Alligator mississippiensis: one gene and its partner. The protein of the gene in region 1 interacts with the protein of each later gene in a pairwise test. Links are inferred from orthologs where the notes say so. Each region holds a gene or a part of one and is shown in the gene's direction. Other genes may lie near its edges. The genes, in order: RBFOX2 and PSMF1.

The links.
Region 2: the proteins of RBFOX2 (region 1) and PSMF1 interact in a two-hybrid assay, tested with the Homo sapiens proteins (2 studies listed by BioGRID and IntAct). The two-hybrid records come from large-scale screens. The link is inferred for Alligator mississippiensis from reciprocal best matches to the Homo sapiens genes RBFOX2 and PSMF1.

The regions. Positions count from the first base shown.
Region 1 is NC_081827.1:101,110,363-101,120,043, forward strand, and holds the start of RBFOX2 (RNA binding protein fox-1 homolog 2), read left to right. Parts: upstream 1-5,924; 5' UTR 5,925-6,207; coding exon 6,208-6,417; intron 6,418-9,681. UniProt on the Homo sapiens protein: RNA-binding protein that regulates alternative splicing events by binding to 5'-UGCAUGU-3' elements. Prevents binding of U2AF2 to the 3'-splice site.
Region 2 is NC_081832.1:1,940,700-1,950,034, forward strand, and holds the start of PSMF1 (proteasome inhibitor PI31 subunit), read left to right. Parts: upstream 1-5,852; 5' UTR 5,853-5,882; coding exon 5,883-6,011; intron 6,012-6,156; coding exon 6,157-6,309; intron 6,310-6,501; coding exon 6,502-6,584; intron 6,585-7,199; coding exon 7,200-7,391; intron 7,392-8,036; coding exon 8,037-8,090; intron 8,091-9,335. UniProt on the Homo sapiens protein: Plays an important role in control of proteasome function. Inhibits the hydrolysis of protein and peptide substrates by the 20S proteasome. Also inhibits the activation of the proteasome by the proteasome regulatory proteins PA700 and PA28.

The DNA.
Region 1 (9,681 bases):
ATTCCACAAATTCACTACTGGTAGGATCATTGTGTGTGGTGGGGTTTGTTTGTTTTTTACTGCCTTCCCCTGAAGCATCAGTGAATAATAATTGTAAGGTAGGATGCCTGAGCATATAGAGCAATGCCCAGTCCCAGTACAGCAAACCTGTTGGATAGTTTACATGGTAAATAGCTTCATCCAAACCATCTAACCAAGAGCCAGATGATGGTGATGATAACTTCAGTCTAAAGCTATGTGTACACTAGAAGTACTTACAACAAAACCAGTAAGAACAAAAGTGCAGCAGGGCGCACTGAAGTGAACAGGGAAGTTCACTTATCTTGGAGGTATTGTCATCTGTTGTGGTGGCAGCACAAATATATGCCCTAGAACAGGGAAAATCCAAGTAGTATTTTGTTCCTGTTAAACTAGTTTAGAAGTTGAGACCAATTAGATTGAAGAACAAACATTGGACTTTTGGTACAAATCTAAAGTCAGTTTTATTATATGGGGCACAAACAATGGAGAAATACAGAGAGGTGAGGAAAAGACTTCAGATCTGTGCAGATTGCTGCCTGTGTCAATTTGCAGATAACAAGAGGCCTGAATGGATAATAAATGTGAAGCTGAGCCGGAGAACATGGGAGAGACCTAGCTACATCATCAAACCACTTCTGCGGCAGCAAGGCTTAACTTACAACAATATAAAATAAGGTGTGAATTTAAACCCATATAACAGTGATTTTCAACCTTTTTAAACTCCAGAGCTTTTCTGAATTTAGTGGCACCCTCTGCAGATGAAGGCAGAGGGAGCCCATCCTTTTTGTTGTGCAAGGGAGATATGCCATGATACACAAAGTCCAGCAGGTGCCCCTGACCCACTGGGAAGTGCAGGAGCAGTTTTTACTATATCTTGCCTTCCCTTCCATCAGGCCAGGCTGCAGCAGGGCACCCCTTTCCTGCCTCAACTGCTTTCCAGATCTAGCCCTGTATAATGTCTTCTGGAAACAGAGGCACAAAGGGACAGTTCCACCTGGTAGCAGTGCAGGACAGCACCTTTAAAAGGATATCATAGCACCCTAAGGTGCTGCATCAGTCCAGTTAAGAATTACTGCCATATAGTTATACACGGATGATGTCTGTTGACACTTGCTCTGGAATGAGTGATTTTATTTCCATTTAGTGTATGTCACTGTGGAAGAGGCCTAAGCTAAATGAGAAGTCACTGCTTCTGGAATTGCCAATGTCTATATAGAGAGTTTACTAATGTAACTATTTGTTTAATTATAGTGTATAACTGGGAAAAATTTCTGGTATGTGGGTCCTATGAGATGGGCAATCAAGTAGGTATAAATAGTAATTTTTCAACATGACAAAAGAGATTAATGATGCGATGCTCTCAAAGGGCACTCTGAGACCTACACTGCTTGCTGACAGTCTGGAAAACAGAGGATAAACAGTTTCATGGTAAAATCTGCCAATGAAACAAGATTACTTAGCTCAGTGAGATTATGATGCACTCTAAACATGCTTAGCCAAGACGGGCAAGTAGGAGCATGGTGGGAAACAAAGTCTAGTGCTGAGAATTGCAAGGAAAAGCAAAGGGGAAGGAGCGATTTGAGCATGGGAGGCAGGGGGATGGCCTCTGAATAAGAACTTTCTAGAGTTTAAATGCTGCAAGCTGCAAGTGGGAGAGGAACAGTGGGAAAAACAGTGCCCCTCGCCCCTTACAGAAAGGATGTGGACAAATTACAGAGAGTTCAGTGGAGGGCAATGAAAGTGGTTAGGGGGCTGGGACACATGACTTATGAACTGAGGTTGAGGGAACTGGGCTTATTTAGTCTGGAGGAGAGAAGACTGAGGGGGGATTTAATAGCAGCCTTCAACTACCTGAAGAGGGGTTCCTAGGAGGTTGCAACTAGACTTGTTCTCAATGGGTGCTTGTACATATGACAGGGGTTTAGCCCTCAGAGTTTTCCTCTATGCCCCTTAAATCGAAGTGGTGGGTTTTTAATTGAAACCCGCTGCTTCAGTTTTTCCATCGTGTTACAGCAGGGGGCCTGATCATTTTTTTTTTCTTTTTGGAGTTGGAGCCTGCCTGCAGCCAGCAGTGAGCTGCTGAGGCTGGCGCCTCACCTAGCCTCACAGCACTCCCCATCCCACCACCTGAGCCGGCTGGAGGACACCAAACCGGTCTGTTTTTCCACTGTCTGTCGCTGCCACCTCTAAATGCTCATGTGCCGCACTATCCATCATGTTGCCCTCACATCCTGCCCAGACACCAAGTGGCGGGACCTGCTCAGTGAGGGCATGGCTGGGGCACCCCAGTGGCTTAGCCTATACTTTGCCTTCATCCCACAAGCCACTGGGGACCTCAGCTGGTGGCTCCTCCATGGAGCCATCACCACAGGCATATATGTGGTGAGCTTCACAGGCCCTGGCACACATGCAGGAATGATGCATGCCCCTGGCGGCTGGGGGGGCATGATGGCAGCAGGAGTGCGGTGGCAGTAAGCAGGAGCTCCCACAGACGCCAACAACAGTATCATCATAGGGGGGCAGGCGAGCCCCAACCAGACAAACATAGACACTACCAGCAGCATCAGCATTGGCCAGCGGTGATCGCTGACTGCCCACAGATGCCGCTGCCAGTGTCAGCGGTGGGAGTGGTAAGCAGTGACCGCCTGCAGGTGGCGGTCCCCCTTCTTGTAGGGGGTGCACCGCCAAGCTCAGGGGGTGCACGTGCACCCATGTGCACCCTCTATGCGTCACCCCTGCGCACATGACACTCAAGTGCGCCAGGATGCAACACCTCCACCTCCACCTTCTGAACCTCCTCCTGAGGTTCTGGATGAATTTCACCCCCACACCTTTTTATTTTTGGGCACTCCATTTGCAGCCCCACCAAGTCCCGGGACTTCCTGGTCAACCTCCTCCTGGCCCTGGCCAAGTGGGCCCTGTACATAACTAGGAAGGAGGCGCTGGCCAGGAAGGTGCCTGAGGAATGCGGGGCTCCTTTCCTCTCACTCATCCATGCATGTTTCCAGGCAGAGCATCAATGGGCAGCCTCCACCAGCTGCTTGGATGTCTTTGAGGACCAGTGGGTGTGGGATGGGGGGCTCTACTCAGTGTCGTTCCCCCCCGGCGCACTTATTTTCACATTTTGACCCTTGAACCCCTGGTCACGCCTATCCTGCTTTTTCCTCAGTTGTCCCCCCCCCCCCCCCAAATTAAAAAAATTAGTTGTGTCTTTCACCCTTTGGCTTCACACAGTGGGGGCTATTAGTTAGATGGGTGGGCCTTAAGGCCCATGAAGTGGCAGGGGGTGGGGGTGGTGAGTGGCTGGACGCTAGGGGTCCCTTGGCTGTGGGGCCCCCTGTGGCCGCAGGTTTTGCAGGATAGGATGGGCTGGCCCTGACCCGGCCTGCTAGCAGCCCATGGCCCTGGGGTGCACCGCCACCGCGGAGGGAAGGACTAGTTCCCCAACAGATCAGGGGCCACTTGGCCTGCCGGCAGCTCAGCCTCTGGCCACGGGAGAGGCAGGCAGGCTCTGCCAAAATACAAAAAGAGGATTGGGCCATGACTGCAGGGGTGACATGTAGCGGGTGGACGTGGGTGCATGTGCATCCCCTGAGCGTGGTGGTGCACCCCTTACTAAAAGGTGCTGCTAACACTGTCGGTGACACCTGTGGGCAGTCGCTGCTTGCCACCCTGCAGCCGACACCAATGGTGCCATCTGTGGGCGGTTCACAATCCCTGCTGGTCTGTGGGTGGTTGCTGACCCCTGGTCGGCACTCGCCCCCACTCCCCTCCCCTCCTGCCACTGACAGCGCCTGCAGGAGCTTCCCTGCTTACCACCACTGCGCTCCTGCAGCCACCATGCTCCCCCAGCTGCCGGGGGCATGCGTTGTTCATGCATGACTACTTCTGTCTTTGGCAGGCTCCTGTGGCTGGTAAGATGCCTGGGGCCACCTAGGAATGGGCTGGCTTGCCCCTGGGGCAGCGCGGGAAGGCTGCAGGAGAGTGGCTGGGTTAGCTGGCAGCTGGAGAAGGCATCAGGGATGGTGCACAGAGCGCTGGAAGCCCGGGTGAACTGTTAGCTGGCCAGGTGCTGCCCCAGCTCAGAGGTGCCCAATGCAATGCTTCCCTGAGCCCACCCAAGCTTCCAGGGCTTCGTGCACCATCCCCGCCACCTCTTCCAGCTGCCAGCAAACCCAGCTGCCCTCCTGCTGCTGTCCTGCACTGCCCTAGGGACAAACCATCCCATTCCCGGATGGCCCCAGGCATCCTGCCAGCCGGAGGAGCCTGCTGAAAGCAGAAGCAGAGAAGGGCCCGATCCTGTTTTTCTATGGAGCCGTCTTGTTTCTCCTGCAGCTAGGGGGGTGGTGAGTTGACAGCTGGATTGTTGCAATTTGCAATGTTGCAAACTACTACATCCAGATGTAGTTTAGTTTGCAACCATGCAAACTCACTTAACACCCTCAAAAGTCTTGCACATGCCATGTGACGCCATCAAGCCACACAAAGTGACATTTTTGTCATGCGGACATGGTAATGGTGTCATGTATACAAGTGCCCAGTGGTGGCAGACGACAGAGCAAGGAGCAATGGTTTCAAGTTGCAGCAGGGAAGTTTAGGTTAGATATTAAGAAAAACTTTCTCACTAGGAGGGTAGTAAAGCACTGGAACAGGTTACCCAGAGAGGTGGTAGACTCTTCGTCCTTGGAGGTTTTTAAGACCCAGCTAGACAAAGCCTTGGCTGGGATGATCCAGTTGGGGCTGGTCCTGCTTTGAGCAGGGGGTTGGAGTAAATGAGCTCCTGAGGTCCCTGCCAACCCTCATTTTCTACAATTCTATGATTCTAAAAACCCTGGCCGGACCCAGGTCACTGTCCCTGTCTGCGATCACTGTCTGCCACCGTGTGACCCAGTGATGCTGGGCTAGACAGACCTGTGGTCTGACCCAACAAACAGCAGTTCTTATTCCAGAGGCCTTGCGGGGTCAAGTCGAGGGGTGGAGGCTAGGAAGGAGACCTGTTTGTTGGGGCCAGCTCAGCCAAACAGCTTCTGAAGGCTTTATGGCAGGGGGAACAGGGAGCCCAATTTTGCTGTGTAAAGAGTAAGAGGGATTATTTGTAGCATCGTGTGGGGCTGAGCTGGCCCTGGGGGGTGTGGGGGTGTGTGTTGGGAAGGATGTGTTGGGGTGCGCGTGTGGGGCTGTGCTGACCTGGGTGGGGTATGTGCATGCTTGTGTTGGGGTGTGTGTGTAGGGATGTGGGTGCATGCCTATGTGTTGGGGAGGATGAGTGAGGGGCTGCGCTAGCCCAGATGGGGTGTGTGGCTGTTGGGGCACGTGTGAGGGTGAGCTGGCCCATGCGTGTGTGTTGGGGGTTCCTGGGGTCATGAACAAGGCTGGGCGCACAGCGCCGGCGGTGGGAGAGCGGCGGCAAGCTGAAGCTCCCGCAGACGCCGCCGGCACTGTTGGTTGGGTGGTGGTGAGCGCTGACCAGGGGTTGGCGACCACCCGCACACGCTGCTGGCAGTGTCGGCGGCGGCCAGCGGGGAGGGCAGCCCGCCAGCACGTGCCACCGGCGGTGTCAGCGGAGGGGGGGGGGCTGGCAGGCAGCCGACAGTGTTGGCAGCGCCTTTCCGCAGGGGGTGCATGTGCACCCCCTACGCGTGGCCCCTGCCAGGCGTCATTCCCGGCCCCCCCACTGCAAACACACTGAGCGGGGCCGGGCAGCGAGGCTCGGCCGGGCCGGGCCGGGCCGGGCCGGGCCGGGCGAGGCGAGGCGGGGCGGGGCGGGGCGGGGCAGGAGCAGTCCAGCGCCTCACGCCTCCGAGACTGGCCCAGCCGCCGCCGCCATCCCCGCCCAGCCCAGCCCCGCCCGGCCGGCCGAGGCCCCGCCCCCAGGCCGAAGGCTGCCGAGCGGGGGTCGCACCGCCCAGGCGGCGGTTCCGGAGATTGCCGAGGGCCCCGCCACCTTCTCTCGCCCAGTCCGCGAGCCCGATCCCGAACGGCGCGGTGCGGTACGGTGTGGAGCGGCGGTCGGAGCGAGGCGCGTGCTCCCCGACCCCGAGCCCAAGCGCGGCATCGCCCCGGGCAGGCGGGCAGGCAGCGACCGGGCCGGGCCGGGCCGGGCCGGGCCGGGCGGCGGCAGGGATCGCGGCTGTGCAGCGGCGGCCCCCGCAGGGCGCGCGGGGCGGCGGGGTCCGGCGGGCGCGGATGGCGGAGGGCGGCAGCCAGCCCCAGCCGCAGCCTCAGCCGCAGCCCCAGCCGCAGAACCAGCAGCTCCTCCCCGGCGGCGGGGCCCCCAGGGGCATCAAGCGGGAGCCGGAGCCGGAGCAGCCCATGCCTGGCGGGGACGGAGCCGAGAGCGGTCACAGCAAGCGGCTGAGGACGGAGGCGGAGGCGGCCGAGGGCGGCGGCATGCAGGTGCGGGAGCAAAGGGCGGGCGAGCGAGCGGCCCCCACCCGCCGGCCTCTCTCTAGCCGTGGTTTCCCGAGGCCCCCCCCCCCAGGGCGGCGTGTCCTGCCCCTCGGCCCCCACCCGCGGCCCAGAGCCCGGAGCTGGGCACCGCCATAGTCAGGGCTTTAAACCCCCTCCAAAAAAAGTTGATGTCAACTTTACTGCTGGTAAAACACAAACATTGTGGGTGGCCTTGAATTCACACCGGGGTTTTGGACCGCGCCTGCTTCTGTGCTGGCAGTGCGGCCTGCTGCCCCGCAGCCTGGGCAGCCTGACGTTGGGCAGCCTGACGTTGCGCAGCCCCTTGTCAGTGTGCCCAGGGCTGGCTTAAGCAGGTAAGACTTGGGGTCAGACTTGTTGGTGCGTCTTGCCTGGACTCAGCCGGAGCCACCTGCCCTCCAGGTACGCGCTGCCTGCGTGCGCAGCTGACCGGGCAAGCTTTGAGCGGCCTTTGCGAAGTCAGGGCGTCATACGTGTGTCAGGAAGGACGACGCGCAGGCCACTGTCCCCAAGGAGCTGTTTCGCAGCCCTGAATGCTTTGCTTCATAGGAAATTGCCTTGATAGTTAGGCTAAAAGTCCTGCGTCACTCAGCGGCTGAGAGTTTTGGGCTGCTCTCCTCAAACATGTTTTCTGCCACCAAGTCCCTCACCCCCTGGAATTGGGCATCCGCCTAGAACTACGTCTCCCCATATAGCTAGTGAAAGGTGTTTGTTACTGGCCTTGTTTGTTCCTCCACCCGTCCCTAGCCAGTTTTTACTGAGTGACAAGATCAGAGAGTTAGGGGAGCCCATACTAGTTTAGAGCCTGATGGACCGCAAGCTGCTACGTTCAGTGTACGTAGTAAAGTGTACCTACCGCATGGGCAGGATGAGGGGGCAAGGGGGACTGGGCATGTTAGCATCCAGGGCATGTTAGCATCCACTCTGGCACTAATAAAGATGGGTATGAACTCTTGATTTCAGGTGGGCACGTCACTGCAGGAAGAGCACACCAACTGCTACAGCTTCCTTAGCCTGACGAAGGGTTTTTGAACCCGAAAGCTTGCTTAATAACTATTCTCCAACCATTTAGGTTGGTCTAATAAAAGATATCAAATTCACCCAAGGAACCTTGTCTGTCACTGCAGTGAACATTTTTAATTTTTTGAGGGCCCCTTTCCTCTAGTAGTTTTTTTCTGTTTGCTCTTCACTGGGCCTCCCCTTCCTACACTACTGTATTTCTCCCCCTGACTCTCTCTTCTTTATACTGTATTCATGTCTGTATAATGACACCTCTGCCCTGGGGGATGCTGTAGAAGGGGGTAGTTCATATAGTGAACATACATGTTTCTTGTCAGCAGTGACACTTGGCTTGCTCCTGCTCTTGTTTGTTTGCAAATGATATTGAATAGTTGTCGGTGTACCTGGTAACAGAGGAGGAAGGTTTGGGGACATCACATGAGACATTTCCAGGGTTGACAAAGAGAGTGCTACCTCTCATCATTAGATTTGAGGGTAGACAGGTCAGAGAGAAAAGATTCTGTTGTCTTGCCCCAGTGTATTTTGGTCAGTGTTTTGTGCTTTCCTTTTCCAGATGCATTTATTTGAGTCGTTTGGGATTCTGGATATTGTTCTTTTTTCCTTGGCTATATTTAATGTAGCATTATTGTGCTTAGGCAAGTGAGCAGGTGGTCTCAGTGCTTCTTGCGACTGCTTCTTGAACTGAAGGTGTTGGAATGCCTTGAGAACAGTGTGAGCTATTCATCCGGAGTTGCTTCTGGATTTGTGGCTTGTGTTGATTGTCTCTGAAGGGAAAGCCCAGAGCTTTTTCTCCTGACCCTTCTCAAATGCCAGTAGTTACACAACTAGTTTTCTTCACTTTTTTTGTTCTGGCTTCTATTCAGTTACCATGCTGAAGGCTTTTTTGACTACTTTGAAGCAGGAGGGTGTGGAGCTTTTTGTTTGTTTTAGTTCTTCTGTGTGTTTGTTCTTTCCTGCTTGTTTCCCTGTAACCTTCCTTTCTCGCATCACTATATGGTCTGAACTTGGTTTGGAACTTCACGTTCGCTGTTTGCAGTACTCCATGCCCCTGCAAGGGTCACCGGAAGGCACTCTCGTCTTCTCTGTGGCCAAAGTGGTATTTTTGTGAATTCGTAAATCTGCAGGATTGCGCTGGAAAAGCTGCTCAGTGTTGAGGGAAGCTGTGTATATTCTATGGAAGTCTATTGTATGAATGAATGTATGAACTCTGATATACACAGGCAAGGTTCTTTTAGTAGATGTGATGTCTTTTATTAGACCAACTGAGTAGTTGGAAAAAAGTTCTTGGCAAGCTGTTGGGCACTGCCACACTTCTTCAGGCATAGGGAGTCTCTGCTGGTCTGAGATGCTGGAGGAATGAGAGAAGCGAAAAGAGTGGCAGGATGTCAGTGGGAATATAAATAGGTAGAAATTAGAAAGACAAAAGGTAAAGCAGGGGTTGGGGGGGAAGGTCAAAGGGAGACATTACAGTGATAGAATACAAGGTAGGAAAGAGGCTGTCTGTGAAAAAGGAAATAGTGGAAGATCAGGAAGACAGGAATGAGAGAAGCTTAAAAGTGTGACAGGATGTCAGTGAAAATATAAATAGGTAGAAATTAGCAAAAGAAAATTAGAAAAACAAAAAGTTATAGCAGTGAACACTGATAGGAATTTCTTCCAGCTAATAGGAAGCCATGTCATGCCAGGTTTTGTCCCAAATGAGAGATGCTAGTGTGACTAAAACTCGTGGTTAATTTTGTTTGATATGTATACAGGCCAGTTGTAAACCAGTGTAAATGTGCCCACACGAGGTTTTGCGCTTGTTTAATTAAATAAATTTAAAACTCAATTTTATTTCAACTGGTGCTACTTTTATATATAAGAAAGGCATCGCTGACTTTCAGGCAGACAATGCCTTTTGTTTTATGTGCCTACATTAACACAGTAGAGTACTGTAGACCCCTGGTCTGTGATTGGAGCTTCTGGGTGCTACTACAACACAACAATAGGGTTTTGTATATGATCCATGGACTCAGCATCTTTAGCTGTTAATGATGTCCATAGGTGTAATACAGACAGACATAATATGCTTTCAGTATTGAAAAAAGCGTTATATGGACAAACACAACTGATAAAACTTAATTTTCAAAATTATAATTTATTTACATTCCATATGTCAGTCCTTCAGACCAGGAGCAGGCTCTCTCTCCAAATTTTGCGTATTTATTTTTA
Region 2 (9,335 bases), on another chromosome or scaffold:
GTGCTGGGGCACCGCAGGCTCCAGCCAAAGCAAGTGCAAGTCATTAGCCGGGAAGGAACAGCACGTTACCTTCGAGGCGGGAGCTCTCCCCTCCCTTCCCCTCTCCCCAAGACTGACGCACAACCCGCAAAGCGGATAAATGCAGAAAGCGGAGCCAGGTTTCTCGCTCTTCCGCTTGGGAAGACCCACACATTTCTGTGCAGCGCTGCACATAGGGAGAGCTTCCCAGGAGAAATGGAAACTCTCCCTACGGCCCACGCCTTCAGGGTAGCGGCCGCCGGACGGTCGTGTCAGATGCTTTCAGCTTCAAAGCCCCCCGGGAGGGCAATGCTGGGAGCGTGGCCTGCCACGTATGAGTTATGAGGATGGAAAGCTGGAATTTTTACCAGGCCTTTCCCTGAAAAGACCCTGGAAGATCTACATTCATACTAATGAGAGCAGAGGGGAGTTACTGCTTGACTCAACACGCAAGGGCAACCAACTGAAACGGCGCTCAATTATAGACACATGGAGCTGAATTCACCCCGAGGATAGCTCAGTTGTCACTGATGCGTCCATCCTCCCAGAGAGCCATTGCTGAAGACAAAGCAATTAGAGCCTCCTTCGTCCCACCCAGAACTGGCAGCCATTTCGGCAAGGGGAAGGGAAAAGAAACGAAGCGGCGATGCCGAGAGGAGGGCCCTCCCCAGCCAGCGGGGATGTTCAGGCTGGCACTTGGATGGGAGAGGCAAAATCCAAGCCTTCGGCTCCAATTAGAGTCCGCCTGGGACGGAGCGGGGCCGGGCCGCCGGAAAGTTGCCTCACTTCTGCGCTCGTGGGGCAAAGTTTCCACTGGAAAGAAACCAAACATCCACGGAACTGAAAGTCCAGCTGGGCCGAGCAAACTCGCGCGGACAGGCAGATGGATGGGCAAACCTATGCACCAGGGCTGGATAAATCTCCCGTGCGCAGGGGTCGACTGCTGCCCACAAGCCGGCTGTGCCAGGCTACAAGGCTTGTGCCACTCGCAGCTCCGCGCTGCAAGATGTCTGTGGAAACCGTGCGAGCTGCGGCTCCGGATGAGTCCTGGGGACACCCCAAGCTGTTTTTACGTGGGCCCATCAGTCCTCCTGGCATGTTTTCAATTTGGAGGCAGGACGTCCTTGACACTTCGAGTGAAGTTTCTGGATTGAACGCTCAGGATTGCAGGCGCCAGGCTAGACAATAGGGACGGTTTGGAAAAACGGATCAATGAAATACGATGTGGATGGGAGCACGGGGGAATCCGCTTGGCCACATGTCCACGGATGAAAGGTCAGCATGAGTGGAGGGGAGCCAGGCTGCCACGAATGTCTGCAAAGCATTACTGCTGCCCTTCTGAAACGAGACGTGTGATGGACGGATGGAAACTCTGCCTGGGCTCGGCATGGCGGGCCGGGTGTGAATCATTTGCAAAGGGCTGGAAACCGTTCTGCTGCTGTCATTTCCTGCCATTCCCAGCTGAATCAGGCACGGCGGAGCTGCCTTCCTTCTTAACGAGCTTCAACTGTGGGGCTGCTCCTGCCAAGCTGTTACTGAAGGGGGGCAGGGGATGTTCTCACCCATGCCACCATGCATTCGAGACCAGGGAGTTTGCCCATCTCCCCGTGCCCCTGCCGCCGTGTTTCTGATGCCAGACCTGGCCTCGGCTGCTTCCAGATAGACCCGTGCAGTCAAGCCCCTGCTCTCGGACCCGCCTGTACCGCAGCGTTGCTTCAAACTTCTGATGCCACAACCCGGAGCTGCCCCTTCATGTGTCGGGAGAGCATGAAGTCGAGAGCATACGCTCCAGCTCCCGCAGACAGGATTTCTGCAGGCGCCCGGGCCTCTCCTCGCTGCACGAGCATCCGGTGCAAAGCCAGAGGCCGGATCCCTACAGACTCCCACGCAGCCAGGGCGTCAGAGACAGCTTCCAGCCTCGCAGGGAGCCAGGACAGACAGGCGAGGTTAGCAAGAGGTGTGACTCCGCCTCGGCCCTGCCACGAGGGGAGATGAATCATGCTTGCGAGTGGCGGCTGTGAGGCATCGCTCCTTCAGGCGTGGTGCATCTTCCAGGGGAGCCGGAGGACTTGCCCTGAGTTATCTCCACTCGGTGCTTATTAATTATGTTGAATCACAGCCTCCCGAAGGGCAGGGAGCTCCACTCCAGAAAGGACAGGGTGCCTGCAGCGAAATGCTATGCTCTTGCCCTGCTGTCCCAGCCAAAACCTACTCCCACCAAAGTCCAGAGCATAAACTTCCCTGAGTCCCAACAGGGAAAAGCATTGGGCCTTTGGGTATCTGCCAAGGTGGGAAGGCAGGGGCTTTCTGGAAAAGCTCGCTTTGAGCAGAGCCCATTTCCTAACACTCATGAAATTAAGCGTGCAAGATTTATTTGCCATAAGCCAGGGAGATCCAGGAAGCCGTCCGTTCTACGAGCCAACGTGGTGATTCCCAAAGAGCATCCCTCCTATACGCCAGCTCGGTCTGGACCGCTCTGACTTGCCCCCAGTGACGTCTGGCTTGCCGCTTTCCTGACAACGTATCTGCCGCCGAGCTCCTATGGGCGGAAATGAATTGGGTCTAGAAAGGAAAGTTACTGAAGCTATTGCAACCGCTCCTTGCACAGCGAGGAAGTCCGGTGCATATATTAGAAATGATGCAGGTCATGATAGGCATAGAAATAGCCTTGCTACAATAAACTGCTGAAAAGCCGCCTGGTGCTATTGCGATAGGTGTCTGAGAGATGCCAAAGGGGCTGTTAGTCTAAAAGCTCAGCGGTGAGCTCGAAGGCCACTTGGATGTGGTGCGATACACTCTTTTTCTTTAAAATAGCTTCTGTCAGCCAATGTCTTGGTCTGCTAGTGGCAAGCCCTGCTTCGGAGAGGCCGGGGGTGCAAAAGCATGGATCAGACTCTAGCAAACCATAGGCAGTGGGTTTGCAAATGGTTTTCTAATAGCTGCTGGTTGAAAATGCACGTCTGCTTTGCAGGCCCAGAGGGCACAACTGTATATGCTGGTCTGCAAACCAGAACTGGCCCTTTTGCACGTGCAGCTGCTGGATGTATGTTCATCCAGCAGCTGCACGTGCAAAGTCCACACGTGCATGTCCGTCCCCCTTATGCAGGGGGTCGGACTTGATGATCTATTGAGGTCCCTTCCGACCCTAACGTCTATGAATCTATGAATCAAATGCACGTACAAGTTAGACTCTCGGGTCCATGTTTGCCGAGCTGGACATGAGGGCACTGGAGGCAGCAGCAGGTGCTATTTGCAGTGACTTTCTGGAGCTGCATATGGCACCTTGTGTCCCCTTTGCCGGGTGCATCTGCAGTCAGGTGTGATCCAGGGCTCGGGCCCTTTGCTCTCGTCCTGCATCAGCAGCAGGGAAGGGTGGTGAGAACGAGCAAGCCAGGCAGCCAAACTCTGCTCTTCCCCCATCCAACGAGAGACCCCGATGGACTGGGATAACCGCAGGAAAAGGTGGAAGGCAGCTGGTTACCAGGGAAGCCGTTTCTCTGGAAGAAGACAGATAGCCCTCGTTAGCTGGGGGCTGAGATAAGACCAGCACTGACCGCCTGTGAAGAGCTTCCATGCTCCAAGCACTGTGCGGGCATCATGAATGGAGCCTCCCACGGCCCCCCGAGATGGAAGAGCGTTATCCCCTTTTGTGGACAGGGATGTTGGGACCCAAAGGCCCTGGCTGCTGTGCTGGGATCCCAGGGGCTGCTTTCTGAATGCCCTGACCTCCAAACACTCCCGCTAGCTGCAGCTGGGTCCAGGCTCTGCATTTCATGCAGGGCACCCCGTGTCGGCAGCCTCTTTGGGCCTGTGGAAAGACAGGCCAGGAGGGACTTGCAAAGCCCAAGTGAAGCACCCCTGGCTCTTAGGTCCTGTCTGCAGCAACCAGCCACCTCCCTTCCCCAAAACCCAGACAGCTTCCAACGTGGACAAATTGGAGAGTCCAGCGGAGGGCAACGAAAATGGCTTGGGGCCCGGGGACAGGACTGGTGAGGAGAGGCTGAGGGAACTGGGCCGATTGAGTCTACAGAAGAGAAGACCGAGAGGGGATTGAATAGCAGCCTTCAGCTCCCTGCAGGTGGTCCCAAAGAGGATGGGGCTGGGCTGGTGGCAGATGAGAGAACAAGGAGCAACGGGCTCCACTTGCAGCATCCCTGGAGCTGCAGGGAGAGGAGCTGGAGCAGGGAGGGGTTTGGCAGGAGCGTCCGTGGGGTTTGCAAAAGCATCGGGAGCCCTCTAGCGTGTGCCGTGCCGCGCCGCTCCGGATGATGGAGAGAGAAGCCTGGAAAGATGACACAGGAAAGGGGAAACGAATCCTACCCTCTGGAGCAGCTCGCACCCAGCCCGGAGCCAGCTCCGGCTCCTGTAACAGGATGCTGACATTGCCAGCCCCGCTGCCCAGCACCTCTGCCATGCACACGCAGGGGAAAGGATTGGATCCTGCCCGGGCACCTGCGCGTGAGCCCCACTTCTCCCAGGGCAATCCCACTGCCTCCTGGAAGCGGCTGCCGCATGGATGCAGCTGCCGCGTGGATGCTCAGGGGCTGCGGGCAGGGGCGAGGACAGGCCGTGCCCAGCCCTGGGACAGCTCAGAACATGGAACTCGGGGCCCTTGTCACCTCACCCGTCACCCAGCAACCGCCAGGCCATAAACCGGCAGGGCCCCAGGCTGCCGGCCTCCCCCACCTCCCTTTGCATCCCCGCGCCTGGAGCCGGAGCAGGGCCCACAGGAGAGGCAGGAGCCTGGGAAGGTCGGTGACATGCAGGGCAGCGCCCGGTCCCAGACCCTCCCTCCAAACTCGGTTCTGGGAGCCAGGTTGGCACGGGGCCCCGCGTGGGCGCTGGATTCACGCGTGCATCTGCGTGATGCTCAGCACCACTAGCGCTGTGCAGACGGGCAGTGCGGCCCTTCTCTGCCAGGCACCTCTGGAGCCGCTTCACTCCAGCCCTGCCCGGGTGCAGGGAGGGGACGGGCCGGGGCAGGGGCAGGGGCCGGCCTCCGGGTTGGGGACACGGAAAACACTGCCTCCTTCCTGGGGGCAAACCCCCCAACACGCACGTGTCACCCTGGCCCTTGCCCCTCAATACACACACACACACACACGTATGATCCTAACTCTTGCCCCCCCCCATGCACACACTCACATGTGACCCTGGCATTTGGCCTCCCACCACATGCACATGACCCTGTTTCCCCCCCCCCCCCCCCACACACACACACACACACACACACACACACACACACGATCCTAACTCCTGCCCTCCCAATGCACACACCCACACCCATGTGTGACCCTGGCCTTTGGTCCCCAACACACACACACACACACACACACACACACACACACACACACACACACACACACACACAATCCTAACTCCCGCCCTCCCAATGCACACACCCACACCCATGTGTGACCCTGGCCTTTGGTCCCCAACACACACACACACACACACACACACACACACACACACACACACACACGATCCTAGCTCTCCCCTTCCCCATGCACACACCCATGCGTGACCCTGGCCCTTGGTCCCCAACACACACACATACACACGTGATCCTAGCTCTTGCCCTCCCCATGCACACACCCACGTGTGACCCTGACATTTGGCCCCCCAACACACACACACACACACGTGCATGCAACCGACACACTGGCTCTTCCCCCCCCAAGACATACACATGCGCACACACAATGACCCCTCCCCCCAACACACGCACGCGTCCGCCCACGTGTGTGCCGCGCCGCCCCGCGCCGCCCCGCCCCTCCCGCAGCGTGTGCCCGCCCACAGGAGGCGGTGCCGTGCGGGGCGGGGCGGGGCGGGGCGGCGCAGCTGCGCAGCCGGGAACGAGCATGGCGGGGCTGGAGGTGCTGCACGCGTGGGCGCTGGCGGGGCTGAGCCGGGCGCAGGACGCGCTGCTGTGCGCCGTGCACTGGGAGCTGGTCACGCAGGGCTACCGCTGCCTGGGCGCCGGCGACCGGGTGAGTGCGGGGCGACCCCCCAGCCCGCTTTCGCTTTCGCTTCTGCCAGTGCTGGGGCACGGCACCCGTCCCTTGTGGCAGGCCCTTAGGGGCGGCCTAAGGGGGTCTGTGCATGCCGCCGCCCTGAGCCGTGCTTGCCCCCCAGGCGGGTCCCAACGAGAGGAAGTCGGAGCTGCTGCCGGCAGGGTGGCACGTGGACAAGGAGCTGTACACGCTGCGGTACCAGGCCCAGGACGACAGCCAGGAGCTGCTGCTCAAGGCCATCATGGTGGACACCAGCATGATCCTCAATGTCATGGTGAGCCCACGCCTGGGGGGAGCTCGGGGCCCTCCCTCGTGCCCAGGCAGCTCCATCCCCGACGCCACGGGTGGGAGACGTGCCCCGGGGACCCAGCTGCCCTGGCAGCTTGGGTGTGCAGGCGGGGAGCGGGCCGTGGCGCCTGCTCCCATCCGCTGGCAGCTGACACGGCCCTTCCTTGCCCTCGCCCAGGACCGCAGCTCACTGCAGGTGGCGGACGTGACCTTGAACGTGGCGGACTACGTGGACCCGGAGCACCTGGACGACTTCCACATGTAACTGCCCGGGCGAGCGGGGCTGGAGCCATTGAGAGCCAGGGAGGGGCAGCAGCGAGGGGCAGCCCGGCACGTCCCTGGCTGCGAGCGGGGAAGCTTTGCGCCCACACGTGGGTAGCTGCAGCCATGGGCCGGGTCTGCCAAGGGGCCACGGGCTTTTCAGTGGGTCCTTGCGGTATTTTGAACATGTGCGGTGCCACGTTCCCATCGCACTCACCCCTACGGGGGTCCTGTAAGAAGATACAGGGTAGAGGAGCGTGTGCCTGGACGGGGCCAGCCAGGGGATGAGAGGCGCCTGTTCCCCCCTGTCCTCCCTGCAAGCTGCCATTACAGGAGTGGGCAATTATTTTGGGCAGAGGGCCACTTACTGAGTTTTGGCAAGCCATCGAGGGCCACGTGACAGGCAGCTGGGGGGTAGATAAATATTAATTTTCTAAATTTTTTAGGGACCTCGCAGGCTGGATAGAATGGCCTGGCAGGCCACATCTGGCCCCCGGGCTACGTTTTGCCCACCCTTGTGCTAGCACGATGGCCCAGCTCCCCAATCCCTCAGGCTGGCAGTGGGGCAGGTGGCCCCAGCGTGTGCCCAGCAGCCATCCCTCTCCGTCCCCGCAGGGTGTACAAGAACGTGGAGGAGCTGAGGACGAGGATCGTCTCGGGCATCATCTCCCCATTCAGGACTGACAAGGAGAAGGACAACAAGAAGGAGTCCAAGCCGGAGAGGACGGTCCCACCAGCTTCCCACCACGACTACGACCCCCTGAGGATCCCGCCCCGGCAGCCCCCGCTCAGCAGGGAGCCCCCCTGGTGAGTGGGGTGGAGGGGGCAGGAAGGGGGTGGCAGAGCACAGAGGCCACCTGTGCTGCCCCCATGCGCCCCGTGTCCCCTCCCAGCTGCCTTCTCCCCAGCCTTGGTGTTGCACCATGGCTCTGAAGGATGCAGGAGCAGCCCCAAGCCCCCTCACCCCATGTCTGCCCACGTTGGCTGGCAGAAGAAGGAGCCAGCAGGTGTAGTTTTCAGCTGGCAGGTGTGTTTCGGAGTCGTGGGGGTGCAGGACCCTGCCACCAGCATCCCTGGCAAGGAGCTGTGGGTGAAATGGGGGCTGGAGAGTGCCCTGTGAAAACCCCCTCCCCACCTGGGCCCTACAGGACACTGACCTGCACGCCTTGCTCTCCAGGCCACGGCACCAGTGTCCACGTGCACAGGGGCTGGCCCAGTGCCTGGGGCTGGCCATGGCAGTGCCGGCTCCAGGTCTGCAGCACACTGGAGCTGGGCATGGTCCCAGTGAAGAACCGCAGCCTCCACTGCTAACACGCTCTGACACGCACCCTGTGCATGTCCGCCACATCCTCCTGCTCCCTCGCGCTGCCTCCTGCACGTGGCACCCCACCGAAGTGCACGGCTCTGTATAGCTGGTGTCCCGCCTCGCAGTCACTGTGTCTTGTCTTGCAGGCCATCTCCCCTGGGCCCCTTTGCAGTGGGCGGAGAGGACCTGGACCCCTTTGGGTGAGTATGGCTGGGGAGATGGGGCGCTCCACCCACCTCCACAGCCTTTCCGGTGCCCCCTTGGAAGTGAGAGCAGCCGTGTCCTGCTTGTGGTGGGGTGGGATGCATTGGATGCCTCCAAAATCCCTTAAATCAATTCGTGCCTAGGTTTCCCATGTGGATGCCGGTGGGGCAGTTGCTGCATGCAGAGGGCAAGGGACTCCCCCTTGGTGCTGGCAAAACCCAAATGTGGTTTTGATCTCACAATGGGCTCCTACAGCTTGGGGCGCCTGAATAATCAGCTTGGATTCATTTAACACGCAGTAATTCCTCTGATAAGACGAGGCTGACCATGAAGCTCAGGGCGTGTAAGCCTTGCATTTAGCATGTTGCCAGCTGTCACCTCGGTGGCCCCGAAAGCTGGTGGAAGGGAGGGGGGAAGGATTTGCCCCCTTCTCTGGTCCCATATGTGACCCTGCAGCATGAGCTCGGCAGGAGCCTTTGGGCTGGGGCCAGGAGGATGCCGGACTGATGCATCACGTCTGCTGTGTGCACCAGCCTCGCCTGTTGTGGGGAAGCCATCCGCAGTCAGAGGGGAACACAGCCAAGCTGGGCAGAGCTAGGAGCAATGACCTCAAGTGGCAGCAGGGAAGAATTTAGGCTGGAGATGAATTTTCTGACTCTGAAAGAGGTCAGGCATTGCAACAGGAGCCCAGAGGAGTTGTGTAATCTCCATCCCGGGACGTTTTCAAAAGCGGGTTGGGATGGTTTAGCTGGTGATGCTCCTGGCGTGAGCAGGGGGCTGGACTAGACGTGACTTTGTGAGGTCCCTTCCTGTGATCCTACACTAGAACCAGCCCCTGGAGACACGAGCCAGCTCCTCACCGCCCCGGAGGCCCGGGATCAGATTTTTGCCTTTTTGGAGGGCAGGCAGGAGGGCTGGAAAAGAGCCAAGGGGTGGATGTAGAGTGATCCTAGGCTAAAACAGACACCCGGTCGGATGTGGCCCTGCATTGGCTGGCATATCGCTCACATCCAAACAGGCACAGACAGTTGTTTACACACAAGCTTCAATGGCAATTAGCTTGAATTAGCCGTGACCAAAGCAATGCATCGATTTGAATAGGTACCTAATGCTCCGCGGTCTGTAACGTCTGGATTTGAGGCAGCACAAAACGCTCTGATGTGATCCAACCGGTTGTCTGTTTTTAGCCCCACGTAGCAGCGAGAGGGGATGGGGAAGGCGCCATGCTCCACTGCTCTCAC